Saccharomyces cerevisiae S288C: one gene and its partners. Changing the gene in region 3 together with the main gene of any one other region gives a genetic interaction. Each region holds a gene or a part of one and is shown on either strand. Other genes may lie near its edges. The genes, in order: MMS1, TOP3, SRS2 and CHL1.

Region 1 (8,949 bases), on a different chromosome or scaffold from region 3:
ATATAGGATACGCACTTGTAAATAAATACATGATAATTTTTATTCTTCTTTAATAGATGATAATACTTACTGAGCAATACACTTATATGTAGAGAAGAATAAGATTATACACATACTGGGAGAAAAACAAGTAGCTATAGTTAGAGCTAAAATAACAAAAAAAGGCATACGTACATACAATGAGAAAAGGAATGGGATTGAAAAAGGGCAGTATCTGCCACTAAGTTAACGACTGAGAGATCGAGACACTCCTATAACAAGACACACTTCTTCTTCTTCTTTTCAGTAGTGTTCTTCTTAGCTTTACCATTCGTTTTAGATTTACCCATCAATGAAGCTCTAGTGGCGGCCTCAAACACTTCTCTGACACCATAACCAGTCTTGGCCGAACATTCGTAGTATCCGGTTGCGCCAATCTGGTCTGCTACAGATTGTCCCTCCTGTGATGTAACGGGTTGTTGACCTTCTTGTCTTAATTGTTCAATGGTTTGTGGGTCGTTTCTCAAATCCACTTTACAACCAACAAGAATAATTGGCACACCTTGACAGAAATGTAATACTTCGGCAATCCATTTTTCTTGTACATTCTCTAAAGAATCTGGAAGATCGATAGAGAAACAAATTAATACGACATTGGAGTCTGGGTATGACAATGGTCTTAGTCTATCATAATCTTCTTGACCAGCGGTATCCCATAGCGCTAGCTCTACACGACGCCCATCAACTTCAACATCTGCTACATAGTTTTCAAAGACAGTTGGTACGTAGACTTCTGGAAATTGGCCCTTGGAAAAGACGATTAATAAACATGTCTTACCACAGGCACCATCACCAACGATTACCAGCTTTCTTCTGATACTGTTACCAACTTGTTGTGACATCTTTCTAGTATAATTTTTAAAGTTCTATGATTTTCTATTAGTGCAACAATAAACCTCTAACAGCGATTCTTTTGTTTTATTAATTTTGTTCCTTTTTTGAGTTTTGTAACTTTAAGTTTGGGTTGTTCCAAAAATGTTTTTGCAATACTCAGAGGAATGATCGATGGTCGAAACGATATTAAAGACGAATTCCTGCTGGTAAAATAAATATATACGATTAGGATAAAGAAGTATTTGTATCAACTACTAAAACATGTAGTACCCAATACAAATCAAACAAAAATTGTATAATCTGTTTATTTTTTTTTCTGAGGCGAAGCAAATTGGAAACAACAAGAATTCTTGTATCTTTTTTTAGCCCCTTGTCACGCTGCACGACGCGTAGCACATTGATCGAGAATCACGATTTTATCAGCGACAATGTTATTGGAAATGAGGGAATTATACTGTGTTCTTGCAGTTATCGCTAAGGTTCCATAACCCAACCTCACAGATGAGGTCAGATTTAACTATTGACCTTCTTGAAACCAAATAGCCAGAATTCCATCTTGGTTCGTATTCGTCCTGGCAAGGCAACCTGTCCTTGCCGAATTTGTGAATTGTTTGATCTGCCATTAGCACATATAAAGTTTGTACTGCGGGATCGTAACTAATATCTTGAATAGGCTTGTCCAATGCTACCGCATTATAGGGAGATAGTCTTTTAGTTCTCATTGCAGTGCTTCCTAATATAGAACTTATATCCTCAAAATAACGGGATGATACATGATCCTCATATACTATAGTGGCGGCTCGGCGTAGTGAAGGTTTTGGTGTAGAAGAGTGGTTTCGCCAAAAGAGTAGTAAATTTCTACGCTGCCTTAGGGCAACCTCTGCTTCGTCATTCTCCGACCGTATGCCTTCGCTGTAACGATTTACGTGCCTCTCACCATGTAAAACATCATACAAAGCCATAGTGCCAAATTGAAATCCTTCAGGAAAGTCAACCTCGAATATGTCGTCGACTCTCCCATTCCCATATTCATCTGGTAGGCTGCCTGTTTCGTTATTAAGCCCAACTTTGATGGTGGGTAAAGAGTAAAAAATTAATCTTGAATCTAAATCGTTCCTATTTCCACAGTAAGCGGCAACAACAAAGCAGCATTCATTTAATGGTATTATCTTTTGAACTTTTGAATCAGGATACATTTCCAAGGGATACACCCTTCTCGATTCGTCAGATGATGAAGAGAAATCCTTAATCAAGTAGAGCTTTTCGCCCATATTTGTGGTAGCAATGATATTATCGCCTACTACAGTAAACGTCTTAACTGTACTCCAACTCTTAAATGTAAACCGGGTTTCCAAAGTGAGCCGCAAAGTCGTATTATTTCTCTCCTCCTGGTCAATGCAATGTTTTGTGACTTTCAACTTGTTAAAGGACATTTCGTTATCGGTGCCCATAACTTTATAATCCAGAAAGAATATTTCACCTCTGGGAGTAATGACCAAATGATTGAGGAGTCTTGAATTGTCAAGTTTATACGAATCTATTATTTGATTGGAAATTTTGTTTTTTGCAGCAGTTAATAAAACTAGTTTTAATGAGCTAGTAAAAGAGATCAATAATACAGTTTTCTTTTCTAAAGGATTGTCCTCTGTTGCTATTGGTAATTCCTTTATTTCTAGGATTTCTTCAGAATCATCCTTAAGAAGTTGAGAATCTAAACCAACTGCCTTACCATCTGATAGTCTAATACACTCCCATTCCCTCAAGTCCTGATTCAATACCAGCATTCGATTTATTTTGTCTAGATATAAAAATTTCTTATTTTTGCTTCTTGTAGATTTTAATAAGAAATTTCCATTATTTGATGTTAGGTATGATAGTTCGAGGATTCTTAAGCCATCAGAGTAGAGTATGAATAATTGGTTGTTTTCTATGTCCGGACAGACTTCAAGAATTGAATTGTTATTACCTAGGTGCGGTAATTTTAGCTTGTAAAAATCCAATTCTCTACTGTCGTGAATTGGCGTTAAATTGATGACAAAAATTTCAAATGCACTAAATGCCAAACATTGATTCACACCAAAGCTTCTAAATTTAATATCTTTCCCTTGAAAATTAACTCTGCTTGTACATCTGGATCCTTTTTTGAAGCAGTTGTTCTGTAAAGTGTGCACCTCAAAATATGATTCATAATCGAGAGAGCAAAAATAAGGGCCGTTTATTAACGCCTGCTGAACACTCAAAATATACACATCAGAAAAATCAAGTGAATCACTAATCCAGTCAGAAAAGGGTGTACGAATGACACAGTCTGGTAAAAGGATCCAAATGTCATACTTGGTTGGATCATCTGTAGACTCTTTGATTTGAAAATTGACACTCGTGACAGTTCCTAACTGCTTGAAGAACTTGCTCATGCCTTTGCTGCTGCTTAAGTTTGAAACTAAGGCGCCAGACTCATCAACAGCGTCTATATTTTCAATATAAGAGACACAGCCAAGCCCAGCATTCCAAACTATTAAAATACCATCATTGTATGTAACGTTTTCGAATTCCCAACCTGGAGAAATCTTACGCAACTCTTTGTCCCCACCAATGGGATCGATGTATATCGTATCCCTAGTTACTTGAATCAAGTTATTTTTCGTAAAATTTAGAAGGATAGTTTCGTTTTCAGTATCACATAGTAAATCTTCTATATTTATCAGTCCTTGAACGGGATCATCATTATCGATTGTCGTTGTCATAGTTAAATCTAATAAAAATATTCTGTTGTTAGAAACAGCGTCGGTCGCAAAAATTAACGAACTTTCGGTATTTGACTGGTTTATTCCAAGTCTCTGTAACAGAGCAATATCAAGGTTCTTACATTTCCATATCCTAAGATGTCTAAAAATTTGAAATTGCTTTAAGTGGATAAGTTGATGAGTTTTCCTGAGTTTATAATCAATGCAAGGTTGAGTTATTGCATTTGGTGAGGTAAGCCAAACTTGAGAATTTCTCGTGTCATTGATGTTAGAGCCTGTGTGTGTGTTATAAAATTTAGAAGACGTAAATGCTAAAATTTGAGAGTTCTCCTCTGTGGAACTATCAATTGTGTGCTTGAAGGTGATATTTTTCAAAGGCTTAATAACGTCTTTTTTATCTAAACATCTCAAATCTTCTAGAGATAATGTTAGCTCTAATGTTCTACTAAAACTTATGACCACCAGTACATAACTTGAGGATCTGGAGTCTAAATTTATCGGATTTGAAGGTAGTGGTGAAATGGATTTCAATCCTTTGAACCTAGTTAGCTCGTAAAATTTTAAATTACCATTTACTATTGTCGATCGTTCGGTGACGCAAAAACAAATATTTCCTGTCGAGGAGGATATTATGGTACAATATTGGAATTTTTTAAATGTATGTGGGTGTAGTTCTTGTAATTTTAATAACAATAAAGGAGCTGGAAAAAATGACTTGATTCCCTTGAGAGCCTTCAATTGGAATGAGTGGAATTCAGTCTCTCCTGACATAATTTGATTTGCAGAAACTAAAGAGAACTTTAGGGGTGTTTCGACTAAACATGCATTTAGTCCAATGGGTATTGTCATATTAGTCTTCTCACCATCAAATACTGTCAATTGATATACCTCTTTTTTCTTTATTTCGTTGTTGTTCCATTCTATGACAAAGTAGACTATCCTTTCATATCTTATGGCTGTTATAAATATAATGAAATAGGGATCTAAATCAGTGTAATTTGTTGGGAAAAAGGATCCGTTCATAATCACGGAATCGGTCAATGTTAAATTGTTTACTAATTGAAAAGTAAATGGTAAATGGAATTCAAAAAATTTGCAAATGCCTAGTTCCTTATGTATAAGAACAAACTGCTTCTCGTTTTGGTGCTTGATTATGTTCCACTGACCTTTTTGTCCCAGGTTCCAATATTGTAGCAAATATGTCTCTTTACCGTCATCAAGCGGTAAAATAGACAATAAGTGACCACTTGGTTGAGTGAGTAATATTAAAATTGCAACGTTGTTGGGTTTTATAGCTATGCTGCCAGATATGCCAGACTGTATGTATGTTATTGAAGTGCTACCTGTTTGAAAGATTCCATTGTTGGATACTATTAAACTGAAATGCTTTTGTTGGATTTCTTCCAGCGCCTGCAATTCAATTTTTGGTTCTTTAACATTACCGCTGTCACTGCTCATTTCTATGTCATCCAATGCTTCTATATCTGAATCATCTAAGGTTTCTGGGTTTTTATCAATGTCAAAAAGACTACCTATTAGTGTGTTATACTTTTGAGGGAAGCCGTCTGACAGTTCAGAACGTTCTTGCAAAATGTATTTTAATACTGGTTTAAAATTTATCGGACTTGAGATTGGATAACAAAATTGAGGCATTTGACCAATATTCGAATCGTGATATCTGAGCATCATCATTGATGGTTCTAGCTTTGGCCCTACACAAGGTCTCACCCAAGTTTCATCCTCGGTATTTTGATAAAAAAGCTCAGGTTCATTCCACTCACGTGTGGTGCTTGAATCAATTAATAAATTGGGGGAAACTCGGAATGACTTATGATTCAACCAATCTTGCAGCTCAAGTTTGCCAAAATCCGACGGGCGACGAATATAATGTTCATACCTGTCTAAACCATGAGTTCGCAAACCTAGCATACCTAATTGACACCGTACTACTTTAATTAGACCCAGAAACGAAACGGAATGTGAAGCGATTTCTTCTCTTCTTCCAATTCTTTTGCAGAGCCCATCTCTGGCAAAGGGCCATTTGTTGGAAATCACTCTAACATGGCTTCTGTTTCCCGATAATATGCGGGTAATGCCTCGCACTTCCTTTGGTTTTGAATTTATGCTATTCTCTTTCTTTGCACATCTAACTTGAAGTGATTAGTACCAGATTGAGCTCAGCTTCTCAAAATTATTTCGAACATATCAATTTAGTTTGTAAGTCATAAAAATCGATATTTTTTGCTTTTTCCTTTTTTCCTAAATCTTCTTGACTGCTTGCAATCTTTGTATCTTCATCTTTCCTTTCTCATGTTTCCAAATTTAGCCTGTATATTCATAGAGACTTCTTAAAGTAAATTTTGGCAGGATAATAGGGTACTGAAATCTATGTTGCTTTTTATATCCTGGCGCTACTTAGCCGCCCAACCTTTTTGTCTTCTTGTCTTTTTTTCTTTTTGGCTTTATTTCTCATCAGATCACGCACCACGGAATGAAAATTTTTTTGCGGAAATCAGCATCGCTAAAGAAAAGCAGAAATAGAAGCAGAAGAGATAGATATAACTACAGAGTTAGAGAAGATCAGTAGACCAATAAGCGGGATTATCATAAAACTCGAGTTTATATTAGCTTTCATCTGTCTTTAGGAAAATAATACCATAATAAAAAGGACACATCATGGCTCCACCAAAGAAAACCGTAAAGAAGATGGACCTTACGTCATTTTTAAATGATGACACCTTTGGTTCATCTTGGGCTGAAGAAGATGTCGATTTGAATAAGATCACAATTCCTATTGAAACCGCTAATGCAAACACTATTCCATTGTCCGAATTGGCTCATGCTAAAAACAACAGCAATAACACGCGTTCAGGCGGCTTTGGTGGCAGTTTTGGAGGTAGATCTAGATTAGACCCTGCTTTGGGGGGCGGTTCTTCCGATAGAAGAGAGGAATACCCTGTTCCAGATGCTCCACCATATAGGGCTGTCATAAACAACATTCCATGGGATATTACCCCAGAGGGTGTTCAAGCCTGGGTTGAAGATGGTTTAGTTAAGCCTGAAGCGGTTGAAGAAGTTGTTTTGCCAAAGAATCTAAGAGACCCAACAAGATTAAAGGGTAATGCTTTCGTTACTTTGAAAGAAAGAGCAGATTTGGTCGCCGTTCTGAAGTTCAACGGTACTAAATTGAATGAGAGAACTGTTTACGTTTCTGTTGCGGCTCCAAGAAGAGGGGGAGGTGCAGATGTTGATTGGAGTAGTGCTAGAGGCTCCAATTTCCAAGGTGATGGAAGAGAAGATGCACCAGATCTTGATTGGGGTGCCGCTAGAGGTTCTAACTTCAGAGGTCCAAGAAGAGAAAGAGAAGAAGTTGATATTGACTGGACTGCTGCAAGAGGTTCCAATTTCCAAGGCTCTTCCAGACCACCAAGAAGAGAAAGAGAAGAAGTTGATATCGACTGGAGCGCTGCAAGAGGCTCCAATTTCCAAGGCTCTTCCAGACCACCAAGAAGAGAAAGAGAAGAGCCAGATATTGACTGGAGTGCAGCTAGAGGCTCTAACTTTCAAAGCTCCTCGAGGCCACCAAGAAGAGAAAGAGAAGAGCCAGATATTGACTGGAGTGCAGCCAGAGGTTCCAACTTCCAAAGCTCCTCAAGACCACCAAGAAGAGAAAGAGAAAAGGAAGAACCAGCTTTGGATTGGGGTGCTGCCAGAGGTGCTCAGTTTGGTAAGCCTCAACAAACCAAAAATACCTACAAGGATAGGTCTCTAACTAACAAAAAGACTACTGATGAGCAACCAAAAATCCAGAAGTCTGTTTATGATGTTTTACGTACTGAAGATGATGATGAAGATGAAGAGGCTGAAAAGCAAAATGGAGACGCAAAAGAAAACAAAGTTGATGCGGCAGTTGAAAAGCTACAGGATAAAACTGCTCAATTGACTGTTGAAGATGGTGACAATTGGGAAGTTGTTGGTAAGAAATAGAGTGTTGTATGATGATAAAATGTACATTTGTATTTACTGTTTGCTTTTTTTCTTTCTTGTTTTTCTACTCTCCTTTCTACCAGGTATTCTAACTCTATTATATAATTAAAAAAAAAATAACCATATATTTTGTATTAAGTTTCATACATGTGTTCAAGTGTATTTTTGGATTTATCATTTTTCTATGTGAGGTAAGTTTTTGAATGTCCCATTTTCCTTTCGTTTTTGGAAAGTTCTAAGAAAAAGCATTAACAATTAAAAAAAAAAAAAAAATCTAAATAATACTGATAGAAATATCAAATATAAACTACTAATATCGGTAATATTCAAAAGAAGAAGCATGACTATAAGCGAAGCTCGTCTATCACCGCAAGTCAATCTTCTCCCAATAAAGAGGCACTCAAACGAAGAGGTAGAGGAGACTGCAGCGATTCTAAAAAAGCGTACTATAGATAATGAAAAGTGTAAAGACAGCGACCCTGGTTTTGGTTCCCTTCAAAGAAGGTTACTGCAGCAACTTTATGGCACACTTCCTACGGACGAAAAGATAATCTTCACATATTTACAAGATTGTCAACAAGAGATCGATAGAATCATTAAACAATCCATTATTCAGAAAGAGAGTCATTCAGTAATTCTCGTGGGGCCCAGACAAAGTTACAAAACATACTTATTAGACTATGAACTGTCTTTGTTGCAACAATCTTATAAAGAGCAGTTTATAACTATCAGGTTGAATGGGTTTATTCACTCCGAACAAACAGCTATTAACGGTATAGCAACTCAATTGGAACAGCAGTTGCAGAAAATTCATGGCAGTGAAGAAAAAATTGACGATACTTCATTAGAGACTATTAGCAGTGGTTCTTTGACAGAAGTGTTTGAGAAAATTCTTTTACTCTTAGATTCGACCACGAAGACAAGAAATGAAGATAGTGGTGAGGTTGACAGAGAGAGTATAACAAAGATAACAGTTGTTTTTATATTCGATGAAATTGATACATTTGCTGGGCCTGTGAGGCAAACTTTATTATACAATCTTTTTGACATGGTAGAACATTCTCGGGTACCTGTTTGCATTTTTGGCTGCACAACGAAATTAAATATCTTGGAATATTTAGAAAAGAGGGTAAAGAGTAGATTTTCTCAAAGAGTGATTTATATGCCGCAAATACAGAATCTAGACGATATGGTTGACGCCGTCAGAAATTTACTTACAGTTCGCTCTGAAATCTCCCCCTGGGTTTCACAATGGAATGAAACGTTGGAAAAAGAACTATCCGACCCTCGATCGAATTTGAATAGACATATTAGGATGAATTTCGAAACCTTTAGGTCATTACCT
Region 2 (6,858 bases), on a different chromosome or scaffold from region 3:
CAACAATAGCTCTCCAGTTAACACCCTTAGTGAAATAGTATTCACCCTTGAGAATAAAGGCATTAGTGATGGAGTATTGTCTTTTTCTGATCAAGAAGTTATCGCAAATCATGACAGAAATGATAGGAGTCATGACAACACCGAAAGAACTCATGACAGTCAAGAAAGTAGAAGAAGAGTTGTAGAAGTTCCATGGCAAACAAGCCCAGGAGACACATGCGGCAAAAAGGGCACCCCTCTTGATGTCGACATACTTGGGTAATAAACCGGCCAAATCCATACCACTGGCAAACCCACAGTTGGAGATGGTGTAGGACATTTGAGATAGGACAAATGAAAGACCACAGAAGAACGCACCGGCACGAGCACCTGCAGAATAGTTAGTTGTCAACCAATGGTTGAAGATATCCATAGGCATCCAATATTGTTCACCGTATAGTTTGTCACAGGTGGAGGCACCAATAACACCAAAAACTGGGATTAAAGTGGTTGGAATTAACAATGCACAGATGGTACCGGCCCAGATAGCCCAATTGGAGGAACCAAATCTCGAGTAATCACTTTGGTTGGTGGAACCTGGAGAAACGGAACCGAACCAGTACGAGATCATATAAACCCAAGCCCAAGCTTTGGTGGAGCCAGTGGCAGTGGATTTAGTGGAGGTAAACAATTCTCCAACACCGTGAGCCTGTTTAGCTAAATAGATCACCATACCCAACATAGAGAAAAATGTAGCAACACACGACCAAATTAAAATGTAGTTCATGTGGTAGGGTTTCATTAAGTAACAGAATGCAGTAAGGACGTGGAAGATGATAAAACCAATTAATTCTTTAGTGGTCATGGCAACTTTCGAAGATAAGGTGTTTGGCAGGTGCAAATAATGGTGAGACCATGAATCCAAGATCATATTGATACAAAGACCTCCCACCCAAGCGTTGGACCCGTAGTTGACAATACTCATCAAAATTCTGATGATGATACCGAAGGCAGAACCGTAAATACCAAAGACGAATCTTTGGGCCAAAGTGAAACCGACCTTCCAGTCGTAACCAGGACACGAGTTTGCCAATGTGAAAATAATGGTCAACACATCACCGACGATAAATGTACCAATGGTTTCTGGGTAACTTAATCCAACACCTAGTGCAGAAGAGGCACTCATCCATGTACCCACTGAAAAGGACATAACACCCCAATATGCAAAATTAGACCAGAACCCCCATGTTTGGTTAGCCGACTTAATAGGTTGCAAATCCGGGTTCTTCAAGAAACTCACAGATGCCCTGTCTTTGACAGGAATTTCCAAAAATCTCAAAGCCCTGGAGACTTTACTACCGAAACTCATATTGATATAATGCAATTGGCTCTACAGTCCTTTAAATGATGTTGCGATGAATCTCAGAACAATAGATGCTAATATGAGTTCTGGAATAGGAAATGAAATGGTAAAGCTTCCCGATGACTTCGAGAATTGTATCTCACATATATACCTAATAAAAAAAAAGAAATTACATTACAATAGAGGATGTAAAAATTTCGCTTTTTTTTTTTTTCTATTCTCTTCCTCTTTTCTCTTCAACTACCCGAAAAAGGTATGCATACTATTTGCCTTAGAAGCCCGATCGATGAATCCTCTCCTCTTCCATATAAATCAATAAGGCAACCTCTAGAAAACGCCCATTCCTGCCAAGCGCTTTGCAGCCTTATGGCCGTACTCTGTGCATCCGCTGCTCATCGGCTCTCTGAAACCTTCCCTATGCGTTTGGTAGTCGCGCGTGAATATGCTAATTGGGGCGCCTTCCAACATGCGTTTACGCGGCGCGCTGGAGCTTCTGTGGCGGCGACTTCTGCATGGTTTGATGCAGTTGCGGCTGGTACTGAAAATGCACATATGCAGTCAGCTGAATCATGCAATTAAGCGGAGAGCTTTTTTGAAGACAAAGGGCGGCAAAAACGCCTTACATGGATGCCTTGACACGGTCATAAACTTGCAAGAGAGTATTCTTGCAGGCATTCGTCTTGTGCCAGTACTTCCTATACTTCTCGACTATGTCCTTTACAACATCAGTCTTGGAGGCATGACCTTCGCAGATTTTCTTGAGGTCTTGCTCCATTTCTCTGCGCTGGAAGGGCTTTGCAAAGGAGTCTTCGAGGCCGATGGCCTCGAAGCCGTGCACTAGTGAGACACCCAGGGTCGTGGGTTGTAAGTAGGTTTCCTTGCCTACTTTCTCGCTCCTAACGTAATTACGTACTTGGATCTTGTCTATGTGCTCCGCAATGGTGGCGTCTGTGCCAATGCCGTTTGTATCCATGAGGAGAATGAGTTCACTCTCAGTCATCGGCTTGGGCGGCGCCGTAGTGCCCGCCTTCATTTCGGCCTTCGCGATGTCTACGAGGGCATTCATTTCAAGCCGCGGTAACTGCTTGGTGGTTTCCCATCGGGCCCAAGGGTAAACATCGAGGAAATTTCTCTCTAGGACTACGAGACCTGAAGCTGAGAAACGTTCAACGGCCCAGTCCAACACAAGGGTCATCGATTGGCCCTTGGCGTCCTCTGAGCAGCATGCCAAAAAGTGCCTGGCCACGTACTCGTATACTCTTCTTTCCACTGGCGAAACATTTGCTTCAGGCCCCAGACTTACGATGGGGTGGATTGGTGGATGCGCTTTGTCGTCATGGGAGCCGCTTCGTGGAAACTTGAACTTGTTATTGTTACTTGTGTTTTCGGGTTGGAGCAGCGATGCCGCGTACGATGCCCAGGCGGTTCTGCCGCCTGCAGCGAGTTGGTCCAATTGAGCTTGCTTTTCGACCAAGGATTTTAGGTCCATTGCGTGTGGGAAAGTATCAGTCTCTGTTCTTGGATACGATATGAACCCCTTTTGGTATAGCTTTTCTGCTGCGTCTAGTGATTGTTTGGCGTTCAGACGCAGGTACCGGGCGCAGTTTTTTTGTAGCTCCACTGTGGTCAGAGGTAAAGGTCTGTATTTCGTTGTTGGCTTTGATTTCAAGTCTACTACTTGAGCAACATTGCCGGCGGTTTCGATGCATGTCTCGTAAAACGTTAACACGCTCAGCCGGTCGAACAAGTGGCCCCTGTCCCACTGGAACGTTGTTGTTCCGCCGTTGTCTTTGTTTTCGACTACCAATTGGATATACCAGAACTCTTCGGGAACAAAATTTCGTATTCTTTCAAACCTGTCTACTACAAAGCCGAGCGTTGGAAACTGGCATGTACCATACGATACGACTTGTGAGTCGTTCTTGTTACCACCGCGGTGTTTTGCACCATCCTTGGTCATGGTGGCTTGGTTTCTCAGTTTATTTCGTAGCGTTTCTGTTAAGAGTCTGGTGAATGTAACACCTGCTCGAAGATCGATTTCAATCCGCGTGCCTACAGCGTGCACACTCTTCATATCCAATCGACTTGGGTTTCGTGCTGCATTTAATATGTGTTGTCTTTCGAGATGCGAAAAGACTGCCCGGTATACTTGATCATTTTGTATGAGCCTGTTGCCTCTCTTGGCCTCCTGCCATATCTCCCAACCGATGTACTCTCCTTCCCGGTCGCAATCTGTCCATATCATCAGATAGTCTGCATTCCTCGCTTCTCGCTTGATGTTGCTTGCTATCTTTTTTTGGTTGTTATTCATAATCTCGTTCAGTGGCGCATCAAATAACTCTTGGATGGCGCATTTTCCCCACCCATGCGAATCATGGCTGAAATCAATGCCTGTTAGGTGCCCTGCAACACTAGTCATGGTAACTTCGCAGTTAGCCCCATTTCTGGCAAACGGGAACCCACTAAACATGAAATCATAGTTCTTTACATACATGTAGCCGGAATCCCTTGAAGTTGATCTGCCTCCTCCTAGGATCTGTGAAACTGCCTTCGCTATAGAATTTTTCTCTGCGACACATAGCACTTTCATTATTGTCTATAATACACCTTTACGTAGCTGAAGCGAGCGCACAGACGAAGGTGCTTTCAAAAGCGATGCCCTCTTTATTGACAGTTACTAATTCGCCAAACTGCTTTTTTTTATCAATGTGATTTTCGCGTTCACGCCATTATCCAATGTCAAAAAGGATAATGGAAATGTTAACATGCCTGTATGATCCGACCGTTTTTAGCAAACTTATCAGGGGAAAAAGTATATTCCATTAAATGACACATGCCACCATAGATAATGGATAATGAAGAAGTTAACGAAGAATGTATGAGATTATTTTTCAAGAACGCTCGTGCGCATCTGGATAAACATCTAACATCAAGGTTGACATGCGATGAAAATGCATATATCACGTTCAGATGCTTCCTGGATGGAATACATCGCAAATCTACTAGGTTTCTCGAAGAGCTACTTTTGAAACAAGAAAATATGTACCATAATAACAATTACGAACGCATAAATGATTCCGTGATACCATTGGTTCTGAAACTTTTATGGCTTCAAATTCACGAACCTACACTCCAATGGTTTGAGCACTGGTTCCATGATATCATGCGACTAAGTAACAGAAGAAAGTTCAGAGTTTTTAGAATTTTTCAAAAAAAAATGATTCAATTTTTCAAAATTACACACAGGTATTACTATGACATCATCGAACACCTATGCGCAAAGTACGATATGAATTCCGTTATTTCAAATGCTCTCTTCGCGAAGTTGAATTTAATGCAATACACAGATGGACTTTCAACTCATGAGAAAATTATCTTAAACACGAGTAATCCACTGACGTTTTCCATTGTAATCTCACTACAAAGATGCGTGATTAATCTAGGTTCCACACATTTTTATAAAACACTACTAAACAAGCCGTCTAACAAACCCAAGAGTGTGGAAGGTTTTGAGAAGTCTATTAGGTACTTGAATATTGCCTCACTCTATCTCCCAGCCGTTGGAGATACTTATTTTCAACGAGCGAAAATTTACTTGATCACTGGGAAATTCTCACTGTATTTCTTTGAATTAGTAAGAGGAGCATTGGTAAGGATTCCGTCTAAATGTGCGTTAAACAATTTGAAAGATTTCATTTTGACTCCTGATTTTCCGGAAAGAAGACGTCTGATGAAAAAATTGGCAATTCTTGTGTCAAAAGATCTCAAAGGTGAGAAATCATTCTTTGAAGGTCAAATTGTTTTGCAATTTCTATCGATAGTAGAACACACTTTGGTTCCACAGTCATGGAACGCATCACGTGCTTCTAATTGTTGGTTATTGAAAGAGCATTTACAAATGGCTGCATTAAAGTATCATTCAGGTAATATTAATGTTATACTTGAAAACTTGGCTGCCACAATGGGAAGTTTCGATCTTATGTTTACAACTCGAAAAAGTAAGGAACAAAAGAACAAACTCAAATATGCAGATTTGAGTGAGCGCCAGGTTTTTTTTTTAGACTTGAGCTTTGATTTTATTGCTAATATCATAGACGTCGTCATCAAACCCTCCTGGCAAAAAAACATGGAAGACTTTCGATATCTAGCCATTATTCGTTTGCTTATGTGCTGGATTAAGTCATATAGATCTATTTTGCAGTACACTCACAGACACAGGAAGTTTTGCACTTCATTCGCCTTGTTGCTGAACGACTTGATAAATAGTCCACTGAATTGTTCAGGAAATATATATAGCCACAGGCCGAAAAGAAGCTATCTTTTTAGAGAAGATATTATTTTCAGGGAATTTTCTTGCATTAACTTTGCACTAACAGATTTTAATGACGATTATGTGTATGATTCTCCCGACATGATTAATAATATAATTGGATGCCCTACATTGACTAAAGTGCTTTCTCCAAAAGAAGAATGTGTTCTGCGAATTAGATCAATAATATTTTCTGGCATGAAATTTTTAGAGAAAAATGACACCGGCGTCATATGGAATGCCAGCAAATATAAGTTTGATTTAATAAGCCCAAATATTAAAATAAAACGCCAAATAGCATTATCGGAAATTTCCTCCAAAATAAATGTAAAAACACAACAGGAAAGAGTAGTCTCTTCGAGAAAAGTTGAGGCCAAAAGAGATGAACAACAGCGCAAAAGAGCCGGGAAAATAGCTGTGACAGAACTGGAAAAACAATTTGCAAATGTCCGGAGAACAAAAAAATTGTCTCCGCTCCCAGAAAAAGATGGCGTTTCTTCTGAGTTGGTAAAACATGCTGCTTCACGAGGGAGAAAAACTATCACTGGCCCACTATCCTCTGATTTTCTCTCATATCCAGACGAAGCAATTGATGCTGATGAGGACATCACCGTCCAAGTGCCAGATACTCCTACTTGAGAGAACAAGTAATGGTGAGGGAAAAAATCATAATATGAAATATATTATGACGACGTCAATTAACGTCGTCCACGCCTGTCGTCGTCAACCCACGAAAATATGGGGGCGGTTTTTATAACGGTTATTAAAACGACGGGATGCCGTCTACGGCACGGACAAACCCATCGCTTTGGAAATAGGTGACTGCGCTTGAAAAACATAATTATTTATTAGCATAATAAATTCAAGACAGCAAATATATATGCTGTCAATACGTACATATTAAGCCTAAATATTCTGTGGAAAAAAGAAACAAACTGGTAATTATGGAGAAAGCTTTGGAATTAGACGGAGAATATCCGGAATCTCTGAGGGATGAATTCAACATCCCTACATTTAAATCCATGGGACTATCGTCCGACGATAAGCCTGTGACGTACTTATGCGGGAATTCTTTAGGTTTGATGCCGAAGTCAACTAGGAATTCAATTAATGCTGAGCTAGATGCGTGGAGCGATTGTGCTGTGGAATCGCATTTCAAACATCCTGAAGAAGCCAGAGGAAAGGTGCCTTGGGTCAGCATTGACTT
Region 3 (8,142 bases):
CATATAATGTTTCCACGATTTGGACCTGCCTTTTTCAACTCTGTGGAAAAAGAAAATTGGGCCAGAGGACTTTTGAATGATGGATCTTGTCATAAACACTATTAAACCCATCAAGACAACACCAGATAGCGAAAAGATTAAAACCATGATTTTGGCGCCAACCGACTTGGGCAGGATGTCACCTAGTCCCACGGTTAATAATGATACCGTGCAGAAATATAATGCATTTCCGTAAGTGATGTGCAATAAACCGCTAAACATACCCGCACCCCAAATCAACCATAAAGACAATAGTACAGTGTATGCCATGATACTTCTTTCATTGGGCAAAAGGTTGAACGTTGGAGGATATTTTCCTAATTTATATCCAATAAAATGTATTGTTAAAATAATGGTGCATACCAAATATAGACCAGAACTGATACAGGCAAACCAAAATCCGATAGTCTTACTGTAGATGCTGGGCATGTCATTCAAGGAGCATACAATCACGTCCACCAAAAGCATCCCTCCAGCTATTGTCCATCCTGTTATATTTATTAACTGAGATTTAAGATACGTCAACTTCTTACTGAAATGTAGCATTAGTATAATATTTGACGTAAAACCCAGTACCAAAGAGATGATATTAACGGCAAAAATACCAGGAGGATCAAAAACTGTCTTTACTTGATTCATCAAAACATCGGTGTCATTGCTTCGTGGATTTGTCACCACGGAGTTGTTCTTTAAGGATCTCCATTTTTCAACTACACAGGCTATCGAGATAGTGTTAGCTACGGGACCCAAGCAGGCAGTAATCACAGGGAAATAGCATGAAACCACAAACCAAAAGACGAACAGTGTTGAAGAAGGCTCTGCATTAATAATACTAACTCTTTCGTCCCGGAACCGCAATGCATCCTTTAGTTCCTCTGCAAGAACACCCTTAGCTTGCTTCGGTGTGTTGTTTGAATGAGAATCAACAGCCTGAGCTGAGCTCTCTTGCTCCACTGTCGCCATATTGCCATATCCCAGCGTTTGTTTGGCAAAGCTGTTCATGAACCTTGTCATATATATAGAAATCGGTAAAATAAATACAAGAAATATGCTTTGTTATACTGCTAGAAAGGAGTGAAGACATCTGCTCACGATCTACGAGATGCGGCTATTTTTGATGGAAAAAGATACATAGGGTCAGGCATTTTTGCCATATTGAATAACCAAGATGGTACTGAGTACTCAGGTAATGTATATTACATTGAGTACTTCACTTGTATACACAACCACTGCTTCGTATTGTATATCAAGTATCTAACTGTTGATAAACTACAACTTTCTCTTCAACCATAATGATAGCGCCGCTTAAAACATGCTAGGGTAACGAGACGCGAATGCGAAAAACTCCCAAAAAAACCAAAACAAACAAAAGTGACAACAATTAGAACGATGCTGAAGAAGAATAGGAGCGAGTTTAGAGTTACCTCCAGCTATCCTGATACTACTGCTTAGGCTACCTTCGCAGAGTCTCGATAAATTTGCAGTCGGCAAGATAAGAATATTTCTCTACAGCTTTTAGACAGCTTCCTGTCCCTCTAGTTTCTTTTGCCATCCATAATTGTACTCTGCACTTTGAGTATCATTCCAATTTGATCTTTCTTCTACCGGTACTTAGGGATAGCAAATGTCGTCGAACAATGATCTTTGGTTGCATTTAGTATCCCAGTTAAATACTCAACAGAGAGCAGCGGCCCTCTTTGATTACACTAGAGGGCTGCAGGTCATTGCCGGTCCCGGCACAGGGAAGACTAAGGTTTTAACTTCAAGAGTAGCGTATCTTATTCTGCACCACCATATTCATCCCCGCGATATTATAGTGACTACTTTCACTAACAAAGCTGCTAACGAAATGAAAGAGCGTTTGCAAGAAATGTTACGCGGGGCAGGCGTGAATATTTCGGAGCTCTTAATTGGTACTTTTCATAGTATTTGCCTGAAAATACTTTATAGATTTGGCCACTTGGTGGATCTACAGAAAGACTGGAGAATTATTGATGAGAAGGAAATAGATGTCATTTTAGATGATATGATCGAAAAAGTTCCCGACCAAATAAGGGATTATGCTTCCTCAATCACAAGGAAAGTAAATCTTTGTATGCCGAGTAAAAATGGAGATGAATGGACTATTCATCCGAAGCTGATCAAGAAACAGATATCAAAGCTAAAATCAAACGCAATATTACCTGAGGAATACATCTTAGATTCGAATCATGACGCCGCGCTTGGTTACTTTTACCAAATATACCAATCAGAGCTAAGCAAGAAAAATACGTTAGATTTTGATGACTTATTAATGTACACCTTTCGTTTGCTGACTAGAGTGCGTGTTTTATCCAACATAAAGCATGTTTTAGTTGACGAATTTCAAGATACTAACGGCATTCAATTGGACTTGATGTTTCTTTTTGCTAAGGGAAATCATCATCTTTCGAGGGGGATGACCATCGTAGGTGATCCTGATCAAAGCATATATGCTTTCAGAAACGCCTTAGCGCACAACTTTCTAGAAATGGGCAGAAAATGTCCCATCGAGTACTCAACTATCATACTTGTTGAAAATTATCGTTCATCACAAAAAATTCTAAATACAAGCGAAATTTTAATAACGCAACAAAACAAAGGTCGGCAGAATAGGGCTCCACTCCGTGCCCAATTTGACCTGGATTTTCCACCAGTTTACATGAATTTCCCCGCTTACTTTTTGGAAGCACCTTCTTTAGTTCGGGAACTACTATATTTGAAGGCATTGCCAAACCTATTCACATTTAATGACTTTGCTATCCTAGTAAGACAACGAAGACAAATTAAAAGGATCGAAAGTGCATTAATAGAACATCGGATACCCTATAAAATTATTAGGGGCCACAGTTTCTGGGATTCCAAGGAAACAAGAGCGATGTTAAATTTATTAAAATTGATATTTTCTCCGAATGACAAACATGCAATTCTTGCTTCACTTTTATATCCAGCAAGGGGCCTTGGTCCTGCTACCGGTGAGAAGATTAAGAACGCATTGGACACGTTAGCTACCGATGTGTCATGTTTCCAAATATTGAAAGACATAAGTAGTAAAAAAATAATGCTAGACATACCGACGAAAGGCCGTTCTGTGATTGCTGACTTCATTTCAATGATAGAAAATTGTCAATTGTTGCTCCAGAGCACTTTACTAGGGGGTCTTTCAGATTTATTTGATAAGCTATATGAATTATCAGGTCTGAAATACGAATACTTGTACAAGGATGGTAAGAAAAAAAATGATCAGCTTGAAAAATCCGAACCTAATTTATTAAACGCAAGACATAAGAATATTGAACTTTTGAAAAACTATTTCCTGGCTCTTCTTTCCAAGTCAGAATCTTCAGATAAAGAAAAAAATGAAGCCATTAAAGCAGCAACAGATGAAGCCGAACCAATAGAGAACAAGGTCATCACTCCAAAAGAATACCTCCGTAATTTCTTCAATTCACTTTCCCTTCATTCTGATGCAGCTGAGGAGGAAGAGTCGGAATCCAATAAAGATGCAAAAATAAAACGTGAGAAGAATGGGTTTGTCACGATATCTACAATTCACGGTGCCAAAGGTCTTGAGTGGCCGGTAGTTTTTATTCCTGGATGCGAAGAAGGTATAATTCCTTGTGTGTTCAACGATGATAAGAAAGACGAATCAGAGGAGGACGAAGAAGAAGATCAAGAAAATAGTAAGAAAGATGCAAGCCCAAAAAAGACTAGAGTTTTATCCGTGGAAGATTCTATAGATGAGGAAAGAAGAATGTTTTTTGTTGCACAGACTCGTGCAAAATACCTGTTGTACCTATCAAATACTGTAACTGTGGAAGATGTCGATAGACCAAGAATTGCAAGCCGATTTTTGACTACTGACTTGATAAAAGCCATGTCCGATAGCCAAAAATTATTTGAAAGTACGAATAGTATCAAAAAACTATACCGAATTTTGAACAAAAAGCCGCCTGCTGAAGATGATAAACTATTCTCCCTTGACCAATTGCGCAAAGACTATAACCAATTCATTGAAAATAGGAGAGAAAGGATGATTTGGCAAGGGATACAAATGAATGATGTCTATGGAATACAGTTGTCTAGAAATAAATTATTGGGTTCTGTTAGTGATTTCACGTCAGCTGCGGACCAGTTACGACTCGAAACGCAAAACTCTATATTCCCACAGAAGAAACTTATTGAAAAATCACGCCCATCCAAAATCAATGGCAATTACGCTCCTAAAAGTAGAGTTAAAAGTCCAGAAAAAAGGTACGCTCCAGAAACTACATCATTCCATTCTCCTACAAAGAAAAAGGTGTATGCACCTCAATACGTTTCAACAACTAATGTACCTAGTAGGCAGGAGTTTCATTCTTCTACTGGGAAAAATATTCCTTTTCTGAGAAGAGAAGATAGGTCCATCACAGACATATCACCACGATCATCAACGAGGTCGTTAAAAGGAGCATCTCCAAATAAGACGAGCCACATGTCAGATGATTTAATGAGACCATCACCTACGAGGAAGGACAAAGTTACTCGTAATATTCATTTCGCAACTGCAGGAACTTTCAGAATAGAAACCCAGTCAAATGTTGATGAACTGCATCCTCCGGAATACTCCAATAAATCAGGGCAGTCGCTTACGTCGAGTGAATTTTCTGGGTTTTCTAGCGCGTGCAGTAATTCTGATCAGCCAACGAACTTAATAGAAGATATAAACAACGAATTAGATCTATCCGATGAGGAGTTATTAAATGACATATCAATAGAAAGGAGGAGAGAGCTTTTGGGCTCGAAAAAGACGAAAAAAATAAAACCAAAAACTCGAAATAGAAAGTCTAAGAGAGGTGACAAGGTTAAGGTGGAGGAAGTGATAGATTTGAAGAGTGAATTTGAGGAAGATGACAGCAGAAATACAACAGCTGCTGAGTTATTACATAATCCGGATGACACTACAGTTGACAATCGTCCAATAATCTCCAATGCTAAGTTTTTGGCTGACGCAGCAATGAAAAAGACACAGAAATTTTCCAAAAAGGTGAAGAATGAACCTGCATCAAGTCAAATGGATATATTTTCTCAGCTGTCACGTGCGAAAAAAAAGTCAAAATTAAACAACGGTGAAATCATAGTCATCGATTAGTAGCACTTTCATGCCTGACTACGTCAACTATTGGAGGCGGTTTATAATTTTTATTTAAAGCACATAGGAGTTAATTTTATTTTACTGGTAGGGTTTGTATACGAACTACATGGAAATGTGGATGGTGTGTTATTATAGCTTAATGAATATTCTTTTTCTATACAAGAAAACCGATATGACAGCTATGAATGAGCAGTATGCCAACAAAACCAGGAATGATTTTAAGGGTGAAGAATCTATCGTGACCATAGACATATTGACTAAACCAGTAGAGACATTTGCCAACAAAAATAAAAACAACCCATTGGAGTTGATTGATTCCAAGCATTCGGCAACTTTATAATATTCCGAAGAATTACCGAAAATTTTGTCAGTCAAGCAGTACCCAGTCAAAAATAGTAAATTATAAGTAATGACCCACAAAGTATATGGTAAGTTAGCAAACCTTCTTGAAACACTATAAGGATGGTATTGAAAAACCAACTGGCTGATAACAAGAAAAATTGTACTCCATATACAGAGGCCACTTAATGGGGTTACTGAAGTCCAATAGTCCCAAGTCGAAGACTTCTTTGATGCTGCAACTACGTCTTGCGTAGAAGGCTTATAAAGATTGTTTAAAGTTGGTTTATTTCCCAACAAGTAAAATCCCGTGTTTTGGCCCCAAAGAAAAATCGAGCAATAACCTAGAAATGAGAAGATGCCTTCTCTATTAGCACTGAAGAAACAATTTCTATCAGCCAAAATTAAAAAGTTTAAAGTGCGATCGTCCTTTAAAAGTAGCCATTCATAAATGCATGAAATGAATATTGCAATTGAGCAGCGTGGAACCATTCTTGTGACGGGATCAATAAAGGTCAATACAAGTGGCAACAATGATAGGGTGATAAAAAAATTCCAATGAACCCCATATTCTGTGACATGTTCTTGATATTCCAAATTTTTTACAAAAAACAACCTCAGCAATCCTAGGAACAATAGAGTTCCTCCTGATTTTAAGGCATTAAATGCATTTTTTAAGAAGCTGGGTTTACTCTTCAAGCTTAGGTTTTTCAACAGTGCCCTAGAAGAAACAATACCGTTACTGAAAACGAATGATCCTACACCAAGATCCATCAGGGATGTCCCCCAAGTTTCCACCTTGGCAAACCTCCTTGGGAAAATTGGAAAATCTACAGCCAAGATGGCAATAGCAGTCAGAATAAGCATCCCACCACGATACGCAGTAATATACGGCTTTTTTTCTAGTTGGAACCGCTGTGTAATCATTTTTTTTTTATTGTATATTGGATTAGAAGGTTTACTCGAGCTAGTAAATTTTCCATATATGAATGCGAGCAAACAAGGTAACAGTATTAGCGTGTTTAGAAGGTATGGTTCACTAGCATAAATAGTAATAGATAGAAGCAAAGCAACCCAGTTCAATGCAAAATCAATTATGTATTGCACGCTGGAAATGCCAGGAGGCATAAGGTTGGAATTTTTCAATAAGTTCCATGATATGTAAGTTACCAAAGCAATTGATGTCACTGCGTTAATTTCTGTTATAGAACCGCCATTGAGCCCTGTCACAAAGTCCTCTTTTCTCTGTTTTAAAGTCGACATATTCTTCTGATGTACTGTTGCCATTTATTTAGATATTTACGTGTCTTCTTATTGCGATCCTCTTTTTCTCATGCTGTTTTTTCACGCGAGCATGTCATGGAAAGTATTATCATACAAAACGGTAATACATATAGATGAGTAGATTTGAATAATGCTGTAGATGGCGTATGTAAATGAATATCTTATAAAATTACGGACTACATTTCAAGAATCTAATTCCTTTGTCTGATTTCTTGTCTGTCGTCTCATAGGTTTTTCTAAAGAGGCAGTACGTTTCTTATCTTGAATGGAGCCATAGGTAACTTGAGTATGTGAAACTTCCTCAGTTCTTGGGATCTCTTCTGGATTAGAAATTGCAGTCGGCTGCTCTGTAGGCACATTTTCTGACATTATTGTGCCCCAACTCGTGGTTCGTTTAATTTGTTTAGGAACGAAATTTTTTGGCAGTGACTCCAACTTGATCCTTTTCGTATCCGGCATTTGTCTCTCTGAAGAAACATCCATGATACTCGATGAGACACTACGCTTTTTTCTTCCAGAATCAGTTTCTCTAATTTTCTGCAATAATTCGTTTTTGGTATCTTTCATAGAGTGCTCCGATAATGAGGAATTGTTTCTTTTCAAAAGAATAGTTTTGTCGATTTTTGGATCATTGTTTTGGTACTTTTTTTCTGAACTAATGCTGGTATAGTATGGTTTTTTTATCTTACATTTAAAATCGTCCTTGTGTCCTCTTGGGCAGATAATACACCACTTGATATTGTTTAAAAAGATTTCATTATTTTCTCCAGATGCAGCGGACAATAATTTAAAAATAAATGCTGGAGTAACTACCGGTATGGAGTGGAATTTCTTGATATATTCAATTTTCCTTTTCATCGAATTTCTCAAGATTGAATTATTTTGAAAATCTTTTCTGTTATTATCACCAGGATCATCATTATTGTTATTAATGCAAAACTGAGTAAAAAGATCGCTAAATTCATTCGACCATAACGGATGGGTTTTCGGGATACTGGGTAAAGCTGCTAAGTTGATTAGCAGAATGTCAGTGGATTTATTGAGGTATTCTACATAATTGATGCCCATTGGTTTTAGAAGATTTAATACTTTAGTCAGATGTAACAGCTCTACGCCAGAGAATCCAGTGATAGTAACATTCAGAAAAGGGGAAGAAGAAAATTCATGATGCAATAACTTTGAAGAAGACGAAACTTGAAACTCTATTGTGCTGAGGAAGGGTTTTGACCATAAATCTATTGGGTGTAGTAATTTTTGATAATACAAGCAGCGTTCAATGAAAAATTCTGTAACTATACCATCATTATCATCTATAATCTCAGGTAAAT
Region 4 (7,077 bases), on a different chromosome or scaffold from region 3:
AATACGCTATAAACAAAAAATCCGAATTAACGAATAGTTTTGATTTAGCTTGCGTATTATCTATAGCGGCAATACTTAAAAGAGAAGCGCCAATTTACAACGGCACGTTATTGATGAAGAACAGCTTTCTCGAGGAAACGTTCAATTTAGAAAGCTTCACGGCTGACCCTGAAACTGTAACATCCACCACGAATAACACGTGGAAGAGGTGTGGTGTCACTTTGCTTCCAATACTTACAACGCATGTAAAGATATGTCCCGTGAGCAAACAACGGGTAATAGACATAAAACGAGATGATTTGAATGATTATGGTTGGTTTACAAGGGGTCTATTAGAAAGATTTAATGAAATAAGCGTATATTGTGGAACAACGCTGGAAGTTATGTAAGGATACAAGAGACAAAGAATTACTTGCAGATATAAAAAGTAGTCATAAATATCAGTTTAGTTTACTATAATATATAGTAGTAATCACAGTATACACGTAAACGTATTCCTTTTAGCGTGAATTCAGGCTGCGCATTGAAAAAAACTTCCGTGTTGAAGAAATGACCTGATGTGTTGTATGTTCGGAATTGATAGAATCTTGCACCCAACGTGACAATTTTTTCCGGAAATTGGGCCTATTATATCGCACATCGAGCAAGTAAATGTTTGCGTAATCATTTGCATGCCGTATAGCACGTCCAACACTTTGGTTGACAGCTTTCATACAAATATTCTCCATAAACTCCTTTGTTGCTCGTGAAGCTTCCTCTTCCGTTCCGCCTGACTTCATTATTTTAGCGGCCAAATGCTTCCTTTTAACTATTAGTTCTCCACTAAAAATATTTGGGAACGGCAGGCCCACCATCACCACAGCCCTACATAAATCATCTTGAAAATTTATTCCCTCTGATAATTTTCCCCCAACAATAGCCAGCAAAAGAGACCCCCTTCCCTCTGCTACCGAATCAGAATATCCAGATAGAATATCATCGCCGTCTTTTGCTTCATAGAATATTTTCCTCACGTTATTTAATGTAGCAAACCTGTCATTCTGTTTCCAGCACTGAATTACATGCGCCAAATACTGATAGCTTGGAAAAAAAGCTACAATACCACCCTTTTTAGGAACTGCTTTGCTCAGATCAACAAAAAATTGAAAAAGATGATTATTTACAAGGGAGGGAGACATTCTTTTTTCGAATGTGAACTCAAGCTCAGGCTGGTTTGTGATATAAGTTTGCAAATTCTCTTTCGGTATAACATGATTGCACGACAAGGTCGTAATGTCTTCAGAAGGAACTTCAGGTAGCAAATTCGACAAAAACTCTGACATGGGTTCCATTGTCCCACCTGCAAGGACTACACATTTTGCTTGATTTAGTATTGACTCAAAAGGTTTACTTGGTTCTAGAAGCATGTACTTTATTGAATAATTTTTCTCAAAAAAAAATTGTCCTTCTGACGTCAAATTTGTCAAACAATATAGGAATTGAGAAACCTTGAAAAGTAATGGCTGAGAAGAAACTGATTTTTTATGCGTTTCTTTTATTGGATTTTCATTTTTTGACGATTCTTCCTCTTTTAGTGCCTGGTTATACGTGTCAATTTTGTAAGCAATTTTGGAGACTTTTATATATCTCAATAGTTTATGAATGTTTAGGGTATCGATGTTACTTCCTGTGAACATATCGTTAGGATCTATTTCTTGTCCTATCTTCTTGAAATTTTTAACTATAAATTGAATCAGAGTCATCAAAAGTGAATTGAGCTTTAATAGATTTACTCTGTTACCGGGATTGAGCCTGGACTTAAATTTGTTGAAATAAGTTACTATCCCCTTATGGCAATTCTTTAAGTCCTCCAACGAGATCTGAGAGGAATATATAGAATTTATTGTTTCTATCAAATTATGAGCCTCATCAATAATTACTATAGAATTTTCAAGGTTTATTTGAAGACTTGAACGGGTGGACTCAGAAAGTAAGTATTGATATGGCAAAGTCACTACCTCCGCAATAGGAAGTGCCTCCCTCGAGGCGTAATAGGGACAAATTCCCAAAGATTTTCCCAGGGGAACTAAATCTTCAATATCTTGAATTTCTGAAAAAATCATATCTCTGAGAGCTAACGTATCAGGACAATGACGCCATTCGTTTGTATTTTGATAAAAGATACATCCCTCTTTACTATGTCTAAGGTCCGCACATGCGTCATTAATAGCTTCCAATGTTTTCCACTTCATCACTTTTGGATTAATACAAAGCTGCTTTTTCGAAGCAAGTGGTAAGTACTTCACCTTTTCATCTGGGACCTTATCCCTAAAGGATGATGGGAACGAGGGTAATCTTAACTGAGAAGTAAATTGACCTAATTGTGAATAAGTTCTGGATGCATAATATATTTTCACTGGATTTTGATTTGTAACGTCAAAGCGATCGCCATTGTTTGGATCTCTCGAAACCTTCCCATCAATTTTGTCTAAAAGTGTTATTATTTGTGAATTTAGTTCACTCAATTTGTAATCTTTATCAGATATTCTTCCTCCTCTTGTGCTTTTGGAGGTATCATTGTTTTCAGAATCTGATTCGTACGGGCGCGGAATAAAATCTTGTTCTTCAAGTGATACATCAAGGTGCCTAGCGCCTTTGCGTTTCTTTCTTAATGGATCAACTGATTTATATCTTCCATGTTCTTTATCTAAATCACACATAGTTTTCAACTGCTTACAACTGGTCGTGTTAATTTCGTTTAAATGCTTCTCATAATCATTTAGCAAATCCACCTTTTCTTGTAAAACAGACTTTCGATAAGTGTCAATAACCCAGTCTGGCTCGTCATCGCTTAGGTTTTCACTATCATCTTCATTCGTTTTGATGTTAGTTTCCATGCGGGTGAAAATATCTGCTTTATTCATTCTCAACCAAGTCATCGTGGCACAGATTAAGGACAGCGTCTTGCCTGTCCCAGTGGGGCTTTCCAGGATAGCTATTTTCTTCCCTTCGGATAGCACTCTGTATACAGTTTCCATTAACTGTACCTGAATATCATAGGGCTTATAAGGATGATAGAAAGTCTCCGAATATTCCTTTTTGTCCATTTTTTGGACTAGTGTGACTGTTTTTAGCCTGGTTTTCTACTCTTTTGGGTTTTAAGGAAACAAACTGAAGTTGCAGTAGTGCCCTCAACTTAGCATGTGCTGATTACACTAATGATGAATTTAAATATGTCAGTGATAATGTCATCAACTGTCAGGTAACAAATGAGCCTCTACCTCAACTCTGTGGTTACGATTAAAATTGGATTTTCAATAAATAGCCTGAGTTTTAACCTTTTCAACAATTGCGACTTCTCTTCCGGACATTAACTAATGCACTATATCTATTGTATATTTGGACGCGTTTGAACTTTTCATTCATGCTGCGGAAGGATAGAAAAATGAAATTTCGCCTGAAAAATAGTTTTAAAAGAATCCGATGGCAAATTGAAAAGAAAGTTGCTACTTATTATCCGGTCTAAGAAGTCAGGCAGGCAAGAGATTAATAGCGATGAAGCAAAGAATTAGTGCCCTAGATTTACTGCTGTTGGCTAGAGAGCTGAAACAGGATTTGGAAGGCTACCGATTGAGTAATATATATAACATTGCCGATTCCTCAAAACAATTTTTGCTGAAATTTAATAAACCAGATTCTAAACTCAATGTTGTTGTCGATTGTGGCTTAAGAATTTACTTAACTGAATTTAGTAGGCCAATACCTCCAACTCCTTCCGGCTTTGTTGTCAAACTAAGGAAGCATCTTAAAGCTAAACGGTTAACAGCTTTAAAGCAAGTAGACCAGGATAGAATTCTTGTTCTACAATTTGCTGATGGCCACTTCTATTTAGTTTTGGAATTTTTCAGTGCAGGGAATGTCATTCTTCTAGATGAGAACAGAAGAATTATGGCTTTGCAAAGAGTCGTTCTAGAGCATGAAAATAAGGTCGGACAAATTTATGAAATGTTTGACGAATCACTTTTTACCACAAATAACGAGTCTGCTGATGAATCCATAGAAAAAAACAGAAAGGCAGAATACACCTCTGAACTAGTCAACGAGTGGATAAAAGCAGTTCAAGCCAAGTATGAATCAGACATTACTGTTATTAAGCAACTTAACATTCAAGGGAAGGAGGGCGCTAAAAAAAAAAAAGTGAAAGTACCTTCCATCCATAAACTGCTGCTTTCGAAAGTCCCTCATTTGTCTTCAGATTTATTATCAAAGAACCTTAAGGTATTCAATATCGACCCTTCAGAGTCTTGTTTAAATCTTTTGGAGGAAACAGACTCACTCGCCGAATTGCTAAACAGTACTCAGTTAGAATATAATCAACTTTTAACTACCACCGATAGAAAGGGTTACATTTTGGCCAAAAGAAATGAAAATTATATCTCTGAAAAAGATACTGCCGATTTGGAATTTATTTATGATACATTCCATCCCTTTAAGCCATATATAAATGGGGGAGACACTGACTCTTCTTGTATCATTGAAGTTGAAGGTCCTTACAATAGGACGCTAGACAAATTTTTCTCAACAATAGAATCCTCTAAGTATGCTCTACGTATACAAAATCAGGAATCGCAAGCGCAAAAGAAAATCGATGATGCTCGTGCCGAAAATGATAGAAAAATACAAGCTTTATTAGACGTCCAAGAACTAAATGAAAGGAAAGGCCATCTCATAATTGAAAATGCACCCTTAATAGAGGAAGTTAAGCTTGCTGTTCAGGGTCTAATCGATCAACAAATGGACTGGAACACTATTGAGAAACTAATTAAAAGTGAACAAAAAAAAGGCAACAGAATTGCTCAGCTTTTGAACTTGCCTTTGAACTTGAAACAGAACAAAATTAGCGTCAAGCTTGATCTCTCTAGCAAGGAACTCAACACTTCTTCAGACGAGGACAATGAATCAGAAGGCAATACTACTGATAGTTCTAGTGACTCAGACTCAGAAGACATGGAGAGTTCGAAGGAGAGGAGTACAAAAAGTATGAAAAGAAAATCTAATGAAAAGATAAACGTTACAATTGACCTTGGTTTATCAGCTTATGCCAATGCCACTGAATATTTCAATATCAAAAAAACAAGTGCTCAAAAGCAGAAAAAAGTCGAAAAGAATGTCGGCAAGGCTATGAAGAATATTGAAGTCAAAATTGATCAACAATTGAAAAAAAAGCTAAAAGATTCTCACAGTGTCTTAAAAAAGATCCGCACTCCTTACTTTTTTGAAAAATATAGTTGGTTTATTTCAAGTGAAGGATTTTTGGTCATGATGGGTAAAAGTCCGGCTGAGACAGATCAAATCTATTCAAAATATATTGAAGATGATGATATTTATATGTCCAATAGTTTTAACTCTCATGTATGGATCAAAAATCCAGAAAAAACAGAAGTTCCACCGAACACTTTGATGCAAGCGGGTATACTATGCATGTCCTCAAGCGAGGCTTGGTCGAAGAAGATATCTTCTTCTCCATGGTGGTGCTTTGCAAAGAATGTTAGTAAATTCGATGGCTCTGATAACTCCATTCTGCCAGAAGGTGCCTTTCGGTTGAAAAATGAGAATGATCAAAACCATTTACCCCCTGCTCAACTTGTGATGGGTTTTGGATTTTTATGGAAAGTGAAAACCAGTGGAAATGAGGATAATGGTGATGATGACGAAGAAGAAGAAGAAGAAGAAGAGGAAGAAGAAGAAGAAGAAGAAGAAGAAGAAGAAGAAGAAGAAGAAGAAAAAGAAGAAGAAGAAAAAGAAGAAGAGCAACAGCAAGATGAAGACGATAGTAACGAGGTCAATGGGTTAGAGAAGGGTGGAGATTCAAACGATAGCACGAAAAACAACAGTTTTGAACACGATAATCTTGAAAAAGACATCGAAAAGCATTGCACCATATCATCCGATACCGACTCTGATTCTGGAAATGCTAAAGCCAAAAATGACAATAGCAGTACGCAGCGTATCCTTGATGAACCAGGTGTTCCGATATCTTTAATCGAAAACATAAACAGTAACGTCCGTGGTAAAAGAGGAAAATTGAAGAAAATTCAAAAGAAATACGCCGACCAGGATGAAACTGAACGTCTCTTGCGTTTGGAGGCCTTGGGTACTTTGAAGGGTATCGAAAAGCAGCAACAAAGGAAGAAAGAAGAAATAATGAAGCGAGAAGTTAGAGAAGATAGAAAGAATAAACGCGAGAAACAAAGAAGACTACAGGCTTTAAAATTCACCAAAAAAGAGAAAGCAAGAGTGAACTATGATAAACACAAGTCCGAATTAAAACCATCTCTCGATAAGGGCGATGTGGTTGATGATATTATACCAGTATTTGCCCCCTGGCCTGCGCTTTTGAAATATAAATACAAAGTCAAAATACAACCGGGAAGTGCGAAGAAAACTAAGACTTTAACTGAAATTTTACATTATTTCAAGAGTAGACCACTAGACGGTTCTTCAACTGACAACGAAATGGATTGGCCCCAAGAACATGAAATGATTAAAGGCTTGAAGGAACAGGACTTGGTTCTTCTGCTCTGTGTCGACAAGTTAAAAGTAACAATCGCTGGGCAGAAATCCACCAAGAACGGTGGTAACTCTTCGAAGAAGGGCAAAAAAAAACGCTAAATCATATGAGATGAAAAGAAAATAGACAGCAATTATAATTTTTTCATTATTTTTCATCACAGACCAACGAGAAGAATAAAATGATTAGCATGAGGTGACAATCATTTCTAAATGAGCAACATATACTTATATATATAAGTAGATACATATATATGGAAGGGAGAAAGTAAGACACTGCATATATACCATATAAGACCAGCTAAAATTTTCTTCTATCCGCTTTGCCTTGTGATCATAAGCCTTGCTGTAACCTTTCTTGAAACTTGCTCTTTGCGAAACCCCACGCGCCTAAGAAACCCTTATCCAAATCTAATGCCATTTGGGGTTCGTTCGTAGGTGGTTTAGAAACTCTGGATGCAATAGTGTTAGAGTCAGTTTCGAGGATAACACCATTATCAATGGTTTCATCAATAGCTAATAAAACCA

The links.
Region 1: mutations in SRS2 (region 3) and MMS1 together harm fitness more than expected from each alone (negative genetic interaction), as found in Saccharomyces cerevisiae (7 studies listed by BioGRID, with this or other methods).
Region 2: mutations in SRS2 (region 3) and TOP3 are lethal when combined (synthetic lethality), as found in Saccharomyces cerevisiae (8 studies listed by BioGRID, with this or other methods).
Region 4: mutations in SRS2 (region 3) and CHL1 impair growth when combined (synthetic growth defect), as found in Saccharomyces cerevisiae (8 studies listed by BioGRID, with this or other methods).

What each region holds. Positions count from the first base shown.
Region 1 is NC_001148.4:867,300-876,248, reverse strand, and holds MMS1 (Mms1p), read right to left. Parts: upstream 5,547-8,949; coding exon 1,323-5,546; downstream 1-1,322. Other genes in the region: Rho family GTPase RHO1, read right to left, coding at 252-881; TIF3 (Tif3p), read left to right, coding at 6,294-7,604; ORC4 (origin recognition complex subunit 4), read left to right, coding at 7,945-8,949. UniProt on the Saccharomyces cerevisiae protein: Component of multiple cullin-RING-based E3 ubiquitin-protein ligase complexes (CRLs), which mediate the ubiquitination of target proteins. The CRL associates with CDC34 as the E2 ubiquitin-conjugating enzyme.
Region 2 is NC_001144.5:606,857-613,714, reverse strand, and holds TOP3 (DNA topoisomerase 3), read right to left. Parts: upstream 3,933-6,858; coding exon 1,962-3,932; downstream 1-1,961. Other genes in the region: thiamine transporter THI7, read right to left, coding at 1-1,348; YLR236C (uncharacterized protein), read left to right, coding at 1,598-1,921; EST1 (Est1p), read left to right, coding at 4,191-6,290; BNA5 (kynureninase), read left to right, coding at 6,596-6,858. UniProt on the Saccharomyces cerevisiae protein: Releases the supercoiling and torsional tension of DNA introduced during the DNA replication and transcription by transiently cleaving and rejoining one strand of the DNA duplex.
Region 3 is NC_001142.9:255,760-263,901, forward strand, and holds SRS2 (DNA helicase SRS2), read left to right. Parts: upstream 1-1,663; coding exon 1,664-5,188; downstream 5,189-8,142. Other genes in the region: TOK1 (Tok1p), read right to left, coding at 1-1,053; GWT1 (glucosaminyl-phosphotidylinositol O-acyltransferase), read right to left, coding at 5,321-6,793; protein kinase activating protein DPB11, read right to left, coding at 6,998-8,142. UniProt on the Saccharomyces cerevisiae protein: ATP-dependent DNA helicase involved in DNA repair at least for UV-induced lesions. The polarity of the helicase activity was determined to be 3' to 5'.
Region 4 is NC_001148.4:535,394-542,470, reverse strand, and holds CHL1 (DNA helicase), read right to left. Parts: upstream 3,087-7,077; coding exon 501-3,086; downstream 1-500. Other genes in the region: transcription factor TFIIIC subunit TFC8, read left to right, coding at 1-389; RQC2 (Rqc2p), read left to right, coding at 3,535-6,651; RET3 (coatomer subunit zeta), read right to left, coding at 6,884-7,077.